Stegostoma tigrinum: one gene and its partner. The protein of the gene in region 2 purifies or fractionates together with the protein of the main gene of each other region. This does not show direct contact. Links are inferred from orthologs where the notes say so. Each region holds a gene or a part of one and is shown on either strand. Other genes may lie near its edges.

Evidence for each region.
Region 1: the proteins of ppp2cb (region 2) and liprin-alpha-1-like purify together in Homo sapiens (affinity purification with mass spectrometry; 4 studies listed by BioGRID and IntAct, counting the BioPlex papers as one, with this or other methods). This does not show direct contact. The link is inferred for Stegostoma tigrinum from reciprocal best matches to the Homo sapiens genes PPP2CB and PPFIA1.

Annotation. Positions count from the first base shown.
Region 1 is NC_081370.1:62,702,869-62,710,224, forward strand, and holds the start of liprin-alpha-1-like, read left to right. Parts: upstream 1-4,264; 5' UTR 4,265-4,568; coding exon 4,569-4,811; intron 4,812-7,356. UniProt on the Homo sapiens protein: May regulate the disassembly of focal adhesions. May localize receptor-like tyrosine phosphatases type 2A at specific sites on the plasma membrane, possibly regulating their interaction with the extracellular environment and their association with substrates.
Region 2 is NC_081354.1:12,436,508-12,444,367, reverse strand, and holds the start of ppp2cb (serine/threonine-protein phosphatase 2A catalytic subunit beta isoform), read left to right. Parts: upstream 1-4,845; 5' UTR 4,846-5,052; coding exon 5,053-5,154; intron 5,155-7,860.

The sequences.
Region 1 (7,356 bases), on a different chromosome or scaffold from region 2:
CATGCTGATTATCCAACTCAATAACCTGTTTCTGCTTTCCCCCATACATCATTTTATGCCTTCAGCCCCAAGTTCTATCCTTCCCTGAAATCATACAAAGTTTGCCTCCACTGCTTTCTGTGGCCATGAAGTCCACAGACTCACCGCTCTCTGGATGAAGAAATGTCTCCTCACCTGAGTGCTAAATGGTTTACCCCACATCCCCAGATTGAAATCCCTGATTCTGGACTTCCTGGTTATTGGTAACATTGTCCCAGCATCTAACCTTTATAGCCTTGTTAGAATTTTAAGCCTTCGCTGAGATCCACCTTCATTCTTCTGAATTCCAGCAAATGTAATCTATTCAGTTCCTCATATATCAGTCCCAACATTTGGAATTCTACCAGAATTAATCTGGCGAGATAGGAAGAATTGCCAATGCTGGAGTCAGAGATAACACAGTGTGGAGCTGGAGGAACACAGCAGGCCAGGCAGCACCAGAGGAACAGGAAAACTGACGGCTCCTTTCCTGCTCCTCTGATGCTGCCTGGCCTGCTGTGTTCCTCCATCTCCACACTGTGTTATCTCTGAATTAATCTGGTAATCCTTTGCTGTACTTCCTCTATGTCAAGAATGTTCTTCCTCAGATAAGGAGATCAAAACTGCACACAATATTCCACTCGCCATCCATTGGCTCCATCTATATTTCTCCCTGCCTCGGAACAGCAGCCAACATAATCAAAGACCCCTCCCACCTTGGTTATAATCTCTTCCAACCTCCTTCATTGGTCAGAAAATACAAAAACTTAAACACATTTACTGACAGATTCACGAACAATTTCTTCTCCCTGTTAGTAGACTTCTGAATGGGCCTCTCAAGTTTCAAATTTAATGTTCTTTGTGCACTTTCTCTACAGCTGAAACATTATATTCCTCAGTCTTTGTATGTCATGATCTGCTGGTGTGCACGCTAAACTTCTCACTGTATCTAGGTACACATGACAATAATAAATCAAATCAAATCACCAAGGTTCTGTATAATTGCAGCAAGACAGCCGTGCTCCAGTACTCGAATCCTCTCGCTATGAAGGCCAACATAACATTTGCCTTCTTCACCTCCTGCTGCACTTGCATGCCTGAAGCATTAACTCTGATTTTTTTCCTTCACAGACGCTGCCAGGCCTGCTGAGCTTTTCCGGCAACTTCTGATTTTATTCCTGATTTTTACTCACCTTCAGTGACTGGTGTACAAGTCAGGCCAGGTCTCAATTCCATTCTCTCAATATAATAGCCATTCAGACAATAATCTGCCTTCTTGTATTTGTTCCCAAAGTGCATAACCTCTCACTTGCCCACATTATAAGGCATCTGTCATGCATTTGTTAACTCATTTAGACAGGGATTAATAAAGAATGCAATATTCCAGGCTTCATTAATACAGGTGTAGAGAACAAGGGTAAGGAAGTTATAATGAACCTGTAAGAAACACTGCTTAGACCTCAGCTGGAATATTGTGTATAGATCTGGGTTCCAAACTACAGAACACAGAACATAGAACAGTGCAGCACAGTACAGACTCTTTGGCCCACGATGTTGTGCTGACCTATTATCCTACAAGGATCAAACTACCCTGCATCCCTACATTTTACTATCCTCCTTGCGCCTATTCAAGAGTTGCTGAAAAGTCTCAAAAGTGTCTGATTCCACTACCACTACCAGCAGCACATTCCACACGCCCACCACTCTCTGTGTGAAGAACCTACCTCTGACATCTCCCCTGTACCTTCCTCCAATCACCTTAAAATTATGCCCCCTCATAGAAGTTATTTCCGCCCTGGGAAAAAGTCCCTGACTATACACCCTATCTATGTCTCTCATCATCTTGTATGCCTCTATCAAGTAAACTCTTGACCTTCTTCACTCTAATGATCAAAGCCCTAGCTCCCTCAACCTTTCCTCATAAGACCTGCCCCCTCCCATCCAGGCAGCATCCTGGTAAATCTCCTCTGCACCCTCTCTAAAGCTTCCACATTCTTCCTGCAATGAGGTGACCAGAATTGAACACAATATTCCAACTGTGGTCCAAGCTGAGTTTTATAGAGCTGCAGCATATCCACATGGCTCTTAAAGTCAATTCCCCTGCCAGCGAAAGCCTATACACCATACACCTTCTTTTCAATCCTTGGGTCGCAACTTTAAGGGATCTATGGACATGGACCCCAAAATCCCTCTGTTCCTCCACACTGATGAGAATCCTGCCATTTACCCTGTATTCTGCATTCAAATTCAACCTTCCAAAATGAATCACTTCACCCTTTTCTGGTTGGATTCTATCTGCCACTTCTTTGCCCAGCTCTGTATCCTGTCGATGTCCCATTGCAACCTACAACAGCCCCCCATGCTGTCCACAACTCCACCAACAGGAAGGATGTGAGCACATTTGAGAAAGCACAGAAGAGTTTTCCAAGGATGGTGTCAGCGATGAGGTTAAATGGAGAAGTTCGGACTAATTTCCGTGGAAAGGGAGAAAGCTGAGGGGAGATTTCATGGGAAATTTTTAACATCATCCGGTCAGAATAAGTCAGGAGAAAATGTTCCCACACATAAACAGATTGAGAACCAGAGAGCACAGTTTTAAAGTGTTTTGCAAACTAAGCAAATGCAAGGTGAGAAATATCTTTTTCACTTAGCAAATGTCTGGAAATGTCACGGAAACAGATTCTGTTGAGGCATTTGGGATCACATTAAATGTTTGCTTGCCATAGTCCATGTAGGTGCCAGCAGCCTGGGTTCAGTTCCTCTACTGTATTTTGTTCAGAAGAAACTGACGTGGAGGAGGGATGTGTTAGCATTGAAGCGTGTGTAGAGGAGATTTCCCAGGGTGTTACATGGGCTGGACAATTTCAATTTTCAAGAGAGATTGAACAAATGGAGGTGGTTTTCCTTTGAGCAGAAAAAATATTGAGCAGGAACATGATTGAGATGAATAAATTTATAAGGGGCATAGATAGGTTACCAGGAAGAAATGTTACCTCTTGATGGGGGGGGCCATTGACCACAGAGTGTAGATTTGAGGTAAGGGGCAGAAGGTTTAGAGGATACGTGAGAAAGAAACTTTTTCACTAAGATGGTGGCAGGAAGCTGGATCTTATTCCTGTAGGAGTGGTAGATGTAGAAACCCCTGTAATATTAAAGAAGTATTCAGATATGCAGTTGTGATGCCAAGGCATATAAGGGTCATTAGTCCCAAAAGGGTCCACAGAACTCATGATCAGAGACACAGAATTTTCTAAGTGGACAATCATCTGAAGGTTTTGGAGTAGATTTGTACCTCGGGTTGTGGGTGTTGAGGTTGGTTGTCTTGGTGAGCTGGTTTCTAAACAAGAGCCCAACTCGGCGAGCCAACTCACCTCACGATAATCTGAAGATTGCAGGAACATCACCTCCCTGGACTGACTTATTCCCTCCCTAATGCCCCAGCTACACTCACCTTCACTGGCTCCATACCTGCCTCTTTGACCTGTCTGTCTCCTCTCCACCTATCTGCTCCTTTATCCATCTTCTATCTGCCTCCCCCTCTCTCCCTATTTATTTCAAAATCCCCTTCCCTGCCCCTATTTCTGAAGAAGGGCCTGGACCCGAAACGTCAGCTTCCCTGCTCCTCTGATGCTCCTTGGCCTGCTGTGTTCATCCAGCTCCACACCTTGTTATCTCAGATTCTCCAGCATCAGTAGTTCCTACTATCTCAGGACAATCATCCTCTTTTGTGAGTGATTGTCACTAATGAAGAGCATGAAAACACTCCTTCTCACCCTTGCCCCTCATCTGAGGCACTGAGACCCTAAGGTTAAACCACCGTAATTCAGCTCTCTCTGTGATCTGAGAGCAACTCTAAGGGACATTGGCAACTTCTTGAAGGAGTAACCCTCCTCCCTCCAGATCTGCAGTTCCTACTATCTCGGCAACGTTATTTATTTGGTGACCAAATGATTACTTAAATAGAAACAAAGTGCAAGGAAATGGTGAAAATGCCGGAGATTGGCAATGATCTCACGGGGCTCATTGAACTGCTGGCGACAGGATGGGCTGAACAGCCTCTTCGCTTCTGACAGAGGAGGAATCTCCCGGGGCGGAGCCAAGGGGGGATGGGTGGGGCCAAGAGGTGGGTGGGGCCTGCAGCAACGGCTGGGTACGTGGGCGGAGCCAGGGACGAGGAGGGGCGGGGCACGGCATGCGCGAGGTGGCGGCGCACGGTGGGTGCGCGCGCGTGCGCGCTGCAGGTCGCGGGAGAGTGCGCGGACATTTTGTCGGGGTCGCGGACGCCGTGCCGGTTGGAAGCGGGAGATGTGAGGAAGCCGGGCCTCGGGACAGGGATAGCAGAGGGACACGGCAGGCTGTGCCGGTGTGTGTGAGATCCGGGACCGTGTGTACATTTACCGACTACCGAGGATCCTGTGTGGAGCCTGGGCCCCGGCCTGCCTCAGCTCTCAGGCCGCTGTTGTTCCCTGAGTCGGGGTCAGTGTTCCCCTTGGCCTGGGGAGAGTAGGCCTCCCCTCGGCCCCCGGCTTCATATCCAGCACCGGCCCACCATGATGTGCGAGGTGATGCCGACCATCAGCGAGGACACGCTGAGCCCCCGGGGCTCGCAGTGCGGCGCCGACACCGAGGCCAACTTCGAGCAGCTGATGGTGAACATGCTGGATGAGCGGGACAAGCTGCTGGAGAGCCTCCGGGAGAGCCAGGAGGCACTGGCCCTGTGTCAGGCCAAGATGCAGGAGGCCTTCCATGAGAGGGACTCGCTTCAGAGGCAGCTCAACACCGCCCTACCTCAGGTAGGGGACGCGGGGGCCAGGTTTACCCAGAACCCCACCTTCACCGCCTCCACCAGACCCCTGCTTTCCCCTTCACACCCTCCACCAGACCCCCCCTTTCCCCTTCACCCCCCCCTTCCACCAGACGCCCCCCCTTCACCCCGTCCACCAGACGCCCCCCCTTCACCCCGTCCACCAGACGCCCCCCCTTCACCCCGTCCACCAGACGCTCCCCCCTTCTCCCCCTCCACCAGGCGCTCCCCCCTTCTCCCCCTCCACCAGGCGCTCCCCCCTTCTCCCCCTCCCCCCTTCTCCCCCTCCCCCCTTCTCCCCCTCCCCCCTTCTCCCCCTCCCCCCTTCTCCCCCTCCACCAGGCGCTCCCACCTTCTCCCCCTCCACCAGGCGCTCCCACCTTCTCCCCCTCCACCAGGCGCTCCCACCTTCTCCCCCTCCACCAGGCGCTCCCCCCTTCTCCCCCTCCACCAGGCGCCCCCCCCTTCTCCCCCTCCACCAGGTGCCCCCCCTCCAACCAGGCGCCCCCCCTTCGCCCCCCCCCTCCACCAGACGCCCCCCCCCTCCACCAGGTGCCCCCCTTCGCCCCCCCCCCCTCCGCCCCCCCCCCTCCACCAGACGCCCCCCCCTCCACCAGGCGCCCCCCCTCGCCCCCGCCCCCCACCTCCACCAGGCGCCCCCCCCTTCACCCCCTCCACCAGGCGCCCCCCCCCTTCACCCCCCTCCACCAGGCACCCCCCCTCCACCAGGCGCCCCCCCCTTCACCCCCTCAACCAGGCGCCCCCCCCCTTCACTCCCTCCACCAGGCGCCCCCCCCCTTCACCCCCTCCACCAGGCGCCCCCCCTCCACCAGGCGCCCCCCCCTTCACCCCCTTCACCCCCTCCACCAGGCGCGCCCCCCCTTCACCCCCTCCACCAGGCGCGCCCCCCCCTTCACCCCCTCCACCAGGCGCGCCCCCCCCTTCACCCCCTCCACCAGGCGCGCCCCCCCCTTCACCCCCTCCACCAGGCGCGCCCCCCCCTTCACCCCCTCCACCAGGCGCGCCCCCCCCTTCACCCCCTCCACCAGGCGCCTCCCCCACTTCAGCACCTCCACCAGGCGCCCCCCCCCTTCAGCCCCTCCACCAGGCGGCCCCCCTCCCCCCCTCCACCTCCTCCACCAGGCCCCCCCCCTCCACCAGGCGCCCCCCCCCCCCCACCAGGCGCCCCCCCCCCTTCACCCCCTCCAGCCCCTCAACCAGTCCCCATGTTCCCCCTCCACCCCCTCAACCAGTCCCCGTGTCCCCCCCCCACCGTTCCCCTTCGCGCCTTCAACCAAATCCTCCCGGTTCCCCTTCGCCTTGTGAGGCCGCCCTCACTCCATCAAACTACCCCACTCCTTCAACCGACCTCTCTGTTTCATCCCAACCCCATCTGCTGAACCAACAATCCACACCACCCCCCTATCTTCACCCCTGTACTAGACTCTATCACCTACCCAACCCTCACGCAGGCTCTAATCAACACCACCCCTGACACTCAACCAGCCTGTAACCAAGAACCCCATCCATCACCCTGATCCTCTCCCCTCAATTCTTGTTGCCCACCTCGATTTCCCCCCTCAGGTCACCGCATTCCCTTTTCTTCCCTGTGCCACCTTCGCGCTGTCATGTGTGGTCTTTCTCTCTCTCTCTCTCTTTTTCTCTCTCTCTCTCTCGCGCGCGTGCTCTCGCTCTCTCTCCCTCTCCCTATCCTCCTGATACTGTACTTTCCACAAAGCTGCAGGATGAAAAGCTGAGCGCTTTGGTTTCATAAAACAAAATCGTCTTTTTTTTTCTTAAACTTGTCCAAATGCTTCAAGAAGGGAACCTTGTCTCCGCTAGTTGTAGATCATTTTGCTGTTCCATTTTTTGGCCACTTTGTTTGTTTCTCTGTAGATCATCTTCCCCCTCCACACCCACAACTATCCTGGCCTAAGGCTGCTTTTTGCAAATTCATGGAGTAGGTCTTCATTTCTGTTGGAGCTATATCCTATCACTGTCACAATACAAAATATTTTAATGCTTATTTTTATTACATACATTTTCGACAAATGTTTGGTGGAGTGGTGACACTGATTCTCAATATTTTGAGAGAATCTGTAAAATCTGAAGTGAGATGTCAGTCTGGCAGGTATTGAGTGTTATGATGTGCTTTCCTCATGGTGACACAGTTAAGGTTATAGCTCACCCCTAAACTTTTGAGGAAACTGTTTATTACTAAAAATGCATTGTTGATAAGAGTGCTACTTGCCTTCAAGGAAGATTTGATGATCTGACATTTCAGTGCTGTTGTCTTGGGCTGCTGATCATGTACTTGCATAATCAGATTAAGAAGTGTTCCCAGTTTTTTGGTGAAATGTTTGCATATTTTGGATTTGCTTCCGTTTATTGTGTAATAATATTACTAATGAATCCTTAAAATAGTTAAATTGAACAGGCTACACAGATGATGTAGATTGTCATTGTGGTCATCATAGAAACTGATTGGAAAGGCATTTTCAGTGGAATGGAATGGAGTGGAACCAGTTAAATTT
Region 2 (7,860 bases):
TCTCCAGCATTTCCAGTTCCCATTATCCATGTAGCATGTGCCTATTTTCTCCTGCAGTGCCTGAAAGTGAGGAAGAGGCAGGTTCAAACAAGCCATTCAGAATGGAAATAGGCTGTTATATGAAAATGAAGAAGATTCAGGAATAGGTAGTGAAGATGAAGAAGATTGTTTATTTAATGACCTGGTGCTGACATGATAGGCCAAATGGCTTCCTTCTGCACAGTCATTATCCTGCTTCTTTGTGTAGATTTCTCTAAGGAGGACAATTCTAGTTTATCTATCCTTTCAGATATGCAAAATCTGACGACAGAATTATTAGAGTGCAAAGCAAGGCCATTCACATGGTGCTGAAAAGTGTGTTGGTGGATCAAGGGATATCACGTGGTGCTGAATGGCATAGTGGGTAAGCATAGGGGTATCACAGGCTACAGGAGGATGTTATGGGTGACCAGAGGCATATCGCAGGGTACAGGAGGATGTGTAGATGTGCAAAGGGGTGTCACAGTGTACAAAAGGGTACGATGGGTGTGCAAAGGGGTGTCACAGCGTACACAAGGACATGATAGGTGTGCAAAGGGATGTCACAGGGTACAGGAGGATGTGACGGGTGAGATTGTCAAGGAGATCAAGGGTTATGGGGAGAATGGGTTGAGAAACTTATCAGCCATGATGGAATGATGGAGCAAACTCGATAGGCTAAATGGCATAACTTCTACTCCAATGTCGTATAGTCTAAAAGGGGTGTCACAGGGTACAGATGGACATAGTGAATGGAGCAAAGGGTGTCAACAGTCTAAGGGTACAAGATAAGCCTTTTAGAACTGAGATTAAATGGCTTTACTACCACACAAAGCAGTTGAGGCCAAAACATCAACTGTTTTCACAGAGGAGTTAGATGCAATTGACAGGGATAAAGGGACCAAAGAGTATGGGGAGAAAGCGTGAACAGAGCATTCAGTTAGACATTCAGCTATCAGAGATAATGGGAACTGCAGATGCTGGAGAATCCAAGATAACAAAGTGTGGAGCTGGATGAACACAGCAGGCCAAGCAGCATCTTAGGAGCACAAAAGCTGACGTTTCGGGCCTAGACCCTTCATCAGAAAAGGGGGAGGGGGAGAGGGTTCTGAAATAAATAGGGAGAGAGGGGGAGGTGGATCAAAGATGGATAGAGGAGAAGATAGGTGGAGAGGAGACAGACAAGTTGAAGGGGCGGGGATGGACCATTTACAGGTGAGTGCAGGTGGGGAGGTAGGGAGGGGATAGGCCAGCCCAGGAGGATTGATAGGTCAAGGGGGCGGATGATGGAGGTGCGGCTTGAGGTGGGAGGAGGGGATAGGTGAGAGGAAGAACAGGTTAGGGAGGTGGGGATGAGCTGGACTGGTTTTGGGATACAGTAGGGGGAGGAGAGATTTTGAAACTTGTGCTATCCACATTGATACCATTGGGCTGCAGGGTTCCCAAGCGGAATATGAGTTGCTGTTCCTGCAACCTTTGGGTGGCATCATTGTGGCACTGCAGGAGGCCCAGGATGGACATGTTGTCTAAGGAATGGGAGGTGGAGTTGAAATGGTTCGCGACTGGGAGGTGCAGTTGTTTATTGCGAACCGAGCGTAGGTGTTCTGCAAAGCGGTCCCCAAACCTCTGCTTGGTTTCCCCGATGTAGAGGAAGCCATAACGGGTACAGTGGATGCAGTATACCACATTAGCAGATATGTAAGTGAACATCTGCTTGATGTGGAAAGCCATCTTGGGGCCTGGGATGTGGTTGAGGGAGAAGGTGTGGGGGCAGGTGTAGCACTTTCTGCCTTTGCAGCGAATGTGCTGGGTGTGGAGGGGTGGGAGGGGAGTGTGGAAGGGCCAAGGGAGTCAAAGAGAGAGTGGTCCCTCTGGAAAGCAGACAAGGGTGGGGATGGAAAAATGTCTTTGGAGGTGGGGTCAGATTGCAGATGGTGGAAGTGTTGGAGGATGATGTGTTGGATCAGGAGGCTGGTGGGGTGGTATGCGAGGATGAAGGGGATTTTATTTTGGCGTTATTGCGGGGGCAGGGTGTGAGGGATGAGCTGCAGGAAATGTGGGAGACACGTTCGAGGGTGTTCTCAACCATTGTGGGGGATAAGTTGTGGTCCTTCAAGAACAAGGACATCTGAGATGTACGGGAGGGGAATGCCTCATCCTGGGACCAGATGCAGCAGAGGCGAAGGAATTGGGAATAGGGGATGGAATTTTTGCAGGAAAGTGGGTGGGAGGAGGTGTATTCTAGGTAGCTGTGGGAGTCGGTGGGCTTGAAATGGGTATCAGTTTCTCGGTAGTTGCTGGAGATGGAGACAGACAGGTCCAGGAAGGCGAGGGATGTGTTGGAGATGGTCCAGGGGAACTTGAGGTTGGGATGGAAGGTGCTGGTGAAGTGGATGAACTGTTTCAGTTCCTCATGGGAGCACGAGGCGGCCCAGTACAGTCATCAATGCAATGGAGGAAGAGGTGGGGTTTGGGGCCAGTGTAGGTGCAGAAGAGGGATTGTTCCACATAACCTCCAAAGAGGCAGGCACAGCTTGTGCCCATATGGGTACCCATGGCCACTGCTTTTGCCTGTAGGAAGTGGGAGGGATCAACAGAGAAGTTGTTGAGGGTGAAGCGGATGAGGGTTTCGGTGGAGAGGGACTGGCTGAGCCTGTGGGACAGGAAGAAGCGGAGGGCCTTTAGGCCATCTGCATGGGGAATGCAGGTGTATAAGGACTGGGCGTCCATGGTGAAAATGAGGTGTTGGGGAACAGAGAATTGGAAGTTCTGGTGGAGGTGGAGGGCGTGGGTGGTGTCACGGACGTAGGTAGGGAGTTCCTGGGCCAAGGAGCAGAAAATGGAGTCCACTTAAGTGGAGGTGAGTTTGGTGCGGCAGGTACAGGCGGAGACAATAGGTCGACCAGGGCAGGCGGGTTTGTGGAATTTGCGAAGGAGACGGAAGCGAGCGGTGTGGGGTTGGGGTACAATGAGTTGGAGGCTATGTATAGGAGGTCACCTGAGGTGATGAGGTTGTGGATGGTTTGGGAGATGACGATTTGGTGCTCAGGGGTGGGGTCATGATCCAGGGAGCGGTAGGAGGAGGTGTCAGAGAGCTGGCATCTGGCCTCAACTTGTCTATCTCCTCTCCACCTATTTTCTCCTTTATCCATCTTCGATCCACCTCCCCACTCCCTATTTATTTCAGAACCCTCTCCCCCTCCCCCTTTTCTGATGAAGTGTCTACGCCCGAAATGTCAGCCTTTGTGCTCCTAGGATGCTGTGTTCATCCAGCCCCACACTTTGTTATCTTAGACATCCAGCTATGCCTACAATGAATGGCTGACTCCGTGTTTCCGTACATCACGTGGCATCGAAGGGGAAATCGTGCTTGACTAATCTTCTGGAATTTTTTGAGGATGTATCTATGAAGATGGACAAGGGAGAACCAGTGGATGTAGTGTACCTGGACTTTCAGAAAGCCTTTGATAAAATCCCACATAGGAGATTGGTGAACAAAATTAGGGCACATGGTATTGGGGGCAAAATACTGAGTTGGATTGAAAATTGGATGGCTGACAGGAAGCAAAGAGTAGTGATAAACGGGTCCCTTTTGGAATGGCAGGCAGTGACCAGTGGGGTACCACAAGGTTCGGTACTGGGACCGCAGCTGTTTACGACATATATTAATGATATAGACGAAGGCATTAAAAGTAATATTAGCAAATTTGCTGATGACACAAAACTGGGTGGCAATGTGAAATGTGAGGAGGATGTTATTAGAATACAGGGTGACTTGGACAGACTAGGTGAGTGGACGGATGCATGGCAGATGCAGTTTAATGTGGATAAATGTGTGGTTATCCACTTTGGTGGCAAGAACAGGAAGGCAGATTACTATCTCAATGGAGTCAAGTTAGGTAAAGGGGAAGCACAACGAGATCTGGGTGTTCTTGTACATCAGTCAGCGAAAGCAAGCATGCAGGTACAGCAGGCAGTGAAGAAAGCTAATGGCATGCTGGCCTTCATAACAAGAGGAATTGAGTATAGGAGCAAAGAGGTCCTTCTGCAGCTGTACAGGGCCCTGGTGAGACCGCACCTGGAGTATTGTGTGCAGTTTTGGTCTCCAAGTTTAAGGATATTCTTGCTATTGAGGGAGTGCAGTGTAGGTTCACGAGGTCAATTCCCAGAATGGCGGGACTATTGTATGTTGCAAGATTGGAGCGACTGGGCTTGTACACACTTGAGTTTAGAAGGATGAGGGGGGATCTGATTGAGACATATAAGGTTATTAAGGGATTGGACACTGTGGAGGCAGGAAGCATGTTTCCGCTGATGGGTGAGTCCAGAACGAGAGGACACAGTTTAAAAATAAGGGGTAGGCCATTTAGAACTGAGTTGAGGAAAAACTTCTTCACTCAGAGCGTGGTGGATATATGGAATGCTGTGCCCAGAAGGCAGTGGAGGCCAACTCTCTGGACACTTTCAAGAAGGAGATGGATAGAGCTCTTAAAGATAGTGGAATCAAGGGTTACTGGGATAAGGCAGGACCAGGATACTGATTGTGGATGATCGGCCATAATCATAATGAATGGTGGTGCTGGCTCGATAGGGCCGAATGGCCTACTACAGCACCTATTGTCTATTGTCTGTCTGCAAGGGGCCGAACGTGCCACACCACGTGGTACATAAGGGGCGTGACAAATAAAGGCAACTGTCTTCGCTCGCGCACCCATTCAAACGGGCTTCCAACCGCCGCCCGACCTCGCGGGCGCGCTTCGCCTCCTCAGTCACGCGCCGCGGGAACGTGAATTACGTCGGTGCGTGCGTGCGCGCGCGATTTTGCGGACACGCGCGCCGCTTTTTCTCCCTCTCACTCTCACAGTGACGGACGGCGCCGAGCTTCTCAGGGGTTCCGAACCCATGTAACTTATTTATGATCAAAATTTTAACCTCCCGATTCCCCCTCCCACCCAAGACTTTTTATTTAAATTTTCCTTTTCACCTCAACACCCTGTCTGATAATTTTTAAAAAAAAAACCGTTCCCGATAGTTATGGATAATAAGGCGTTCACCAAGGAGCTGGACGATTGGATCGAGCAGCTGAACGAGTGCAAGCAACTCAACGAGAACCAAGTGCGGACCCTCTGCGAGAAGGTATGTGGGGAGCGCCAAGGCCAACAGTTTTATTCTCGATGCGATTTCAGACAGAATCCCCGCCTGGGTTTAAGCGACAGAGTCGGCCTTTCCGCCGCTGCCAAATAGTGAGACCAGTGGCTCGGCCGCTCTCCCCGGCTCGGCTCGGCTCCGCCCCACCCGCCTGACCGGGCGGAACTTCCGGTCCGGTGCCACTTCCGCTCAGGGGGCGGGTCCAAGGTGGAGCTTTATATGCCCTCAAAGCCCTCTTCATCGCCTCTTTCCCCCCCCCAACTCTCTCTTCATCCATATCCGCCCCTCCCTCCTTTCATCCCAGTCCCCGGACTTACTTGCCCCATTCCAGCTCCACCCCATCCTCCTCCTTTTTCATGTGTTCCAGCTGCCCTGACTCTTCTTGCAGGAAGTTGTAGACTTTGACATGTGATTGAATCTTACAGCCTGGATAAAGCCCCTTCAGCTCGATGTGCCCGCACTGTTTGCCAAGCATCTCCAGCACCTTTCCTGTCGTCTTGTATACATACCATGGCGTTTTAAACGCTCATCATTTACCTGATACAGAGGCATTGACTTAGTAGGAGCGCTTCAGTAGGTTTGGGCCTGTACTGGTTGGAATTTAGAAAAATGGGAGGCAATAGTTTTGAAGCATAAAAGATTCTTGGAAGACTTGACAGAGTAGATGTCGAAAGGTTGTTTCCCCTTGTGGTAGGGTTAAAGGGATTGATCTTAAAAGAAATCGTCACACATTTAAAGTGGGTTGAGGAGGAATTTCTTCTATGCAGTTAAGTAAGAATCTTGGCATTCTTTACCACAAAGACCTATTGAGACTGAGTTAGGTTTATTCAATGCTGAGACAGATTTTTAATTTATGAGTAAAAGGTGGGAAAGTGGAGACAATGATTCACATAAACCTGATCTGATTGAATGGAGGCGGAGACATGATGGTTTGAATATGTTTCTTCTGCTTTGTCATGAGGTCGGTTAGCTCAGTTGGCAGACTGGATTGTGGCAAAGTGTGACATCAGTGCTACGTCCAATTTTCATGTCACCTGAGGTTATGATGGACTCTCGTTCTCAGTCTCTTTGCTTGTCTGAGGCATGATGGCCTCTAATAAGGTGCTCTACTAAGACTGTGTAATGTCAAGAGTTCTCTACCACTCTTGTGACTTTTTCATCCCCCTTCTCCCAATACAAGTGCAACAGGCCTTGAATTTATGAATATTCTATCAAATGCAGTCAAAAAAGGTGTAATTTTTAAAGATCTGACAGATGTAGGAATCTTTCCTGTACTTATGAGTGGCTAGTTTTATATTTCCTGCATTGCGTTCTGACATGCATACAAATCAAACTGAGTGGACTCCACGTGGAACTTTTTTGCAACTGGGGTCTGCCTGTATTTAGACACAGTCTCAGTATGCCTCAATCTCTTTATTATTCCACACAGCAGCATCTCTTGCTTCTTTGCCACACTGTCGCAGCCTCTCCCATGGTCAGTTTTAACCATGCCATAAAGTATTTTGCTGTAAAATGACAGCAGACATAAAGCAGGACTAGGCCATTCAGCCCTTCATCCTGCTTTGGCATGCAAAAAGTCTTTCTTCATTCTATCTCCCTGCCTGCACTGTGAAACTGTTAACTCCCTTGTTTATCGAAAATCTAACTTAATCTTGAATAATTTCACTCCACTCTTTGAAGAGAATTTACAGACTAACAACCCATCACTTTAGACTGATACCTACATAGAACATAGAACCTAACAGCACAGCACAGTACAGGCCCTTTGGCCCTCGATGTTGTGCCGACCTGTCATACCGATCTGAAGCCCATCTAACCTACACTATTCCATGAACGTCCATATGCTTGTCCAATGATGACTTAAATGTACTTAAAGTTGGCAAATCTGCTACCATTGCAGGCAAGGTGTTCCATTCCCTTACCACTCTGAGTAAAGAAACTATTTCTGACATCTGTCCTATATCTTTCACACCTCAATTTAAAGCTATGCCCCCTCGTGCTCGCCGTCACTATCCTAGGAAAAAGGCTCTCCCTATCCACCCTATCTAACCCTCTGATTATTTTATATGTTTCAATTAAGTCACCTCTCAACCTTCTTCTCTCTAACGAAAAAAGCCTCCAGTCCCTCAGCTTTTCCTCATAAGACCTTCCCACCATACCAGGCAACATCCTAGTAAATCTCCTCTGCACCCTTTCCAAAGCTTCCACGTCCTTTTTATAATGCGGTGACCAGAACTGTACGCAATACTCCAAGTGTGGCCACACCAGAGTTTTGTACAGCTGCAGCATGACCGCTTGGTTCTGGAACTCGATCCCTCTATGAATAAAAACTAAAACACTGTATGCCTTCTTAACAGCCCTGTCAACCTGGGTGGCAACTTTCAAGGATCTGTGTACATGGACACCGAGATCTCTCTGCTCATCTACACTACCAAGAATCTTACCATTAGCCCAGTACTTTGCCCTCCAGTTACTCCTACCAAAGTGCATCACCTCACACTTGTCTGCATTAAACTCCATTTGCCACCTCTCAGCCCAGCTCTGCAGCTTATCTATGTCTCTCAGCAACCTACAGCATCCTTCGTCACTATTACCTTAATTAGATTAAATCATAATTTGCTGTTTCAGTCACGGTTTTAAAAACAAAAGGGTCCCAAGAACAGTTTTGCTCATGAGGAAAACATTAGAATGTCT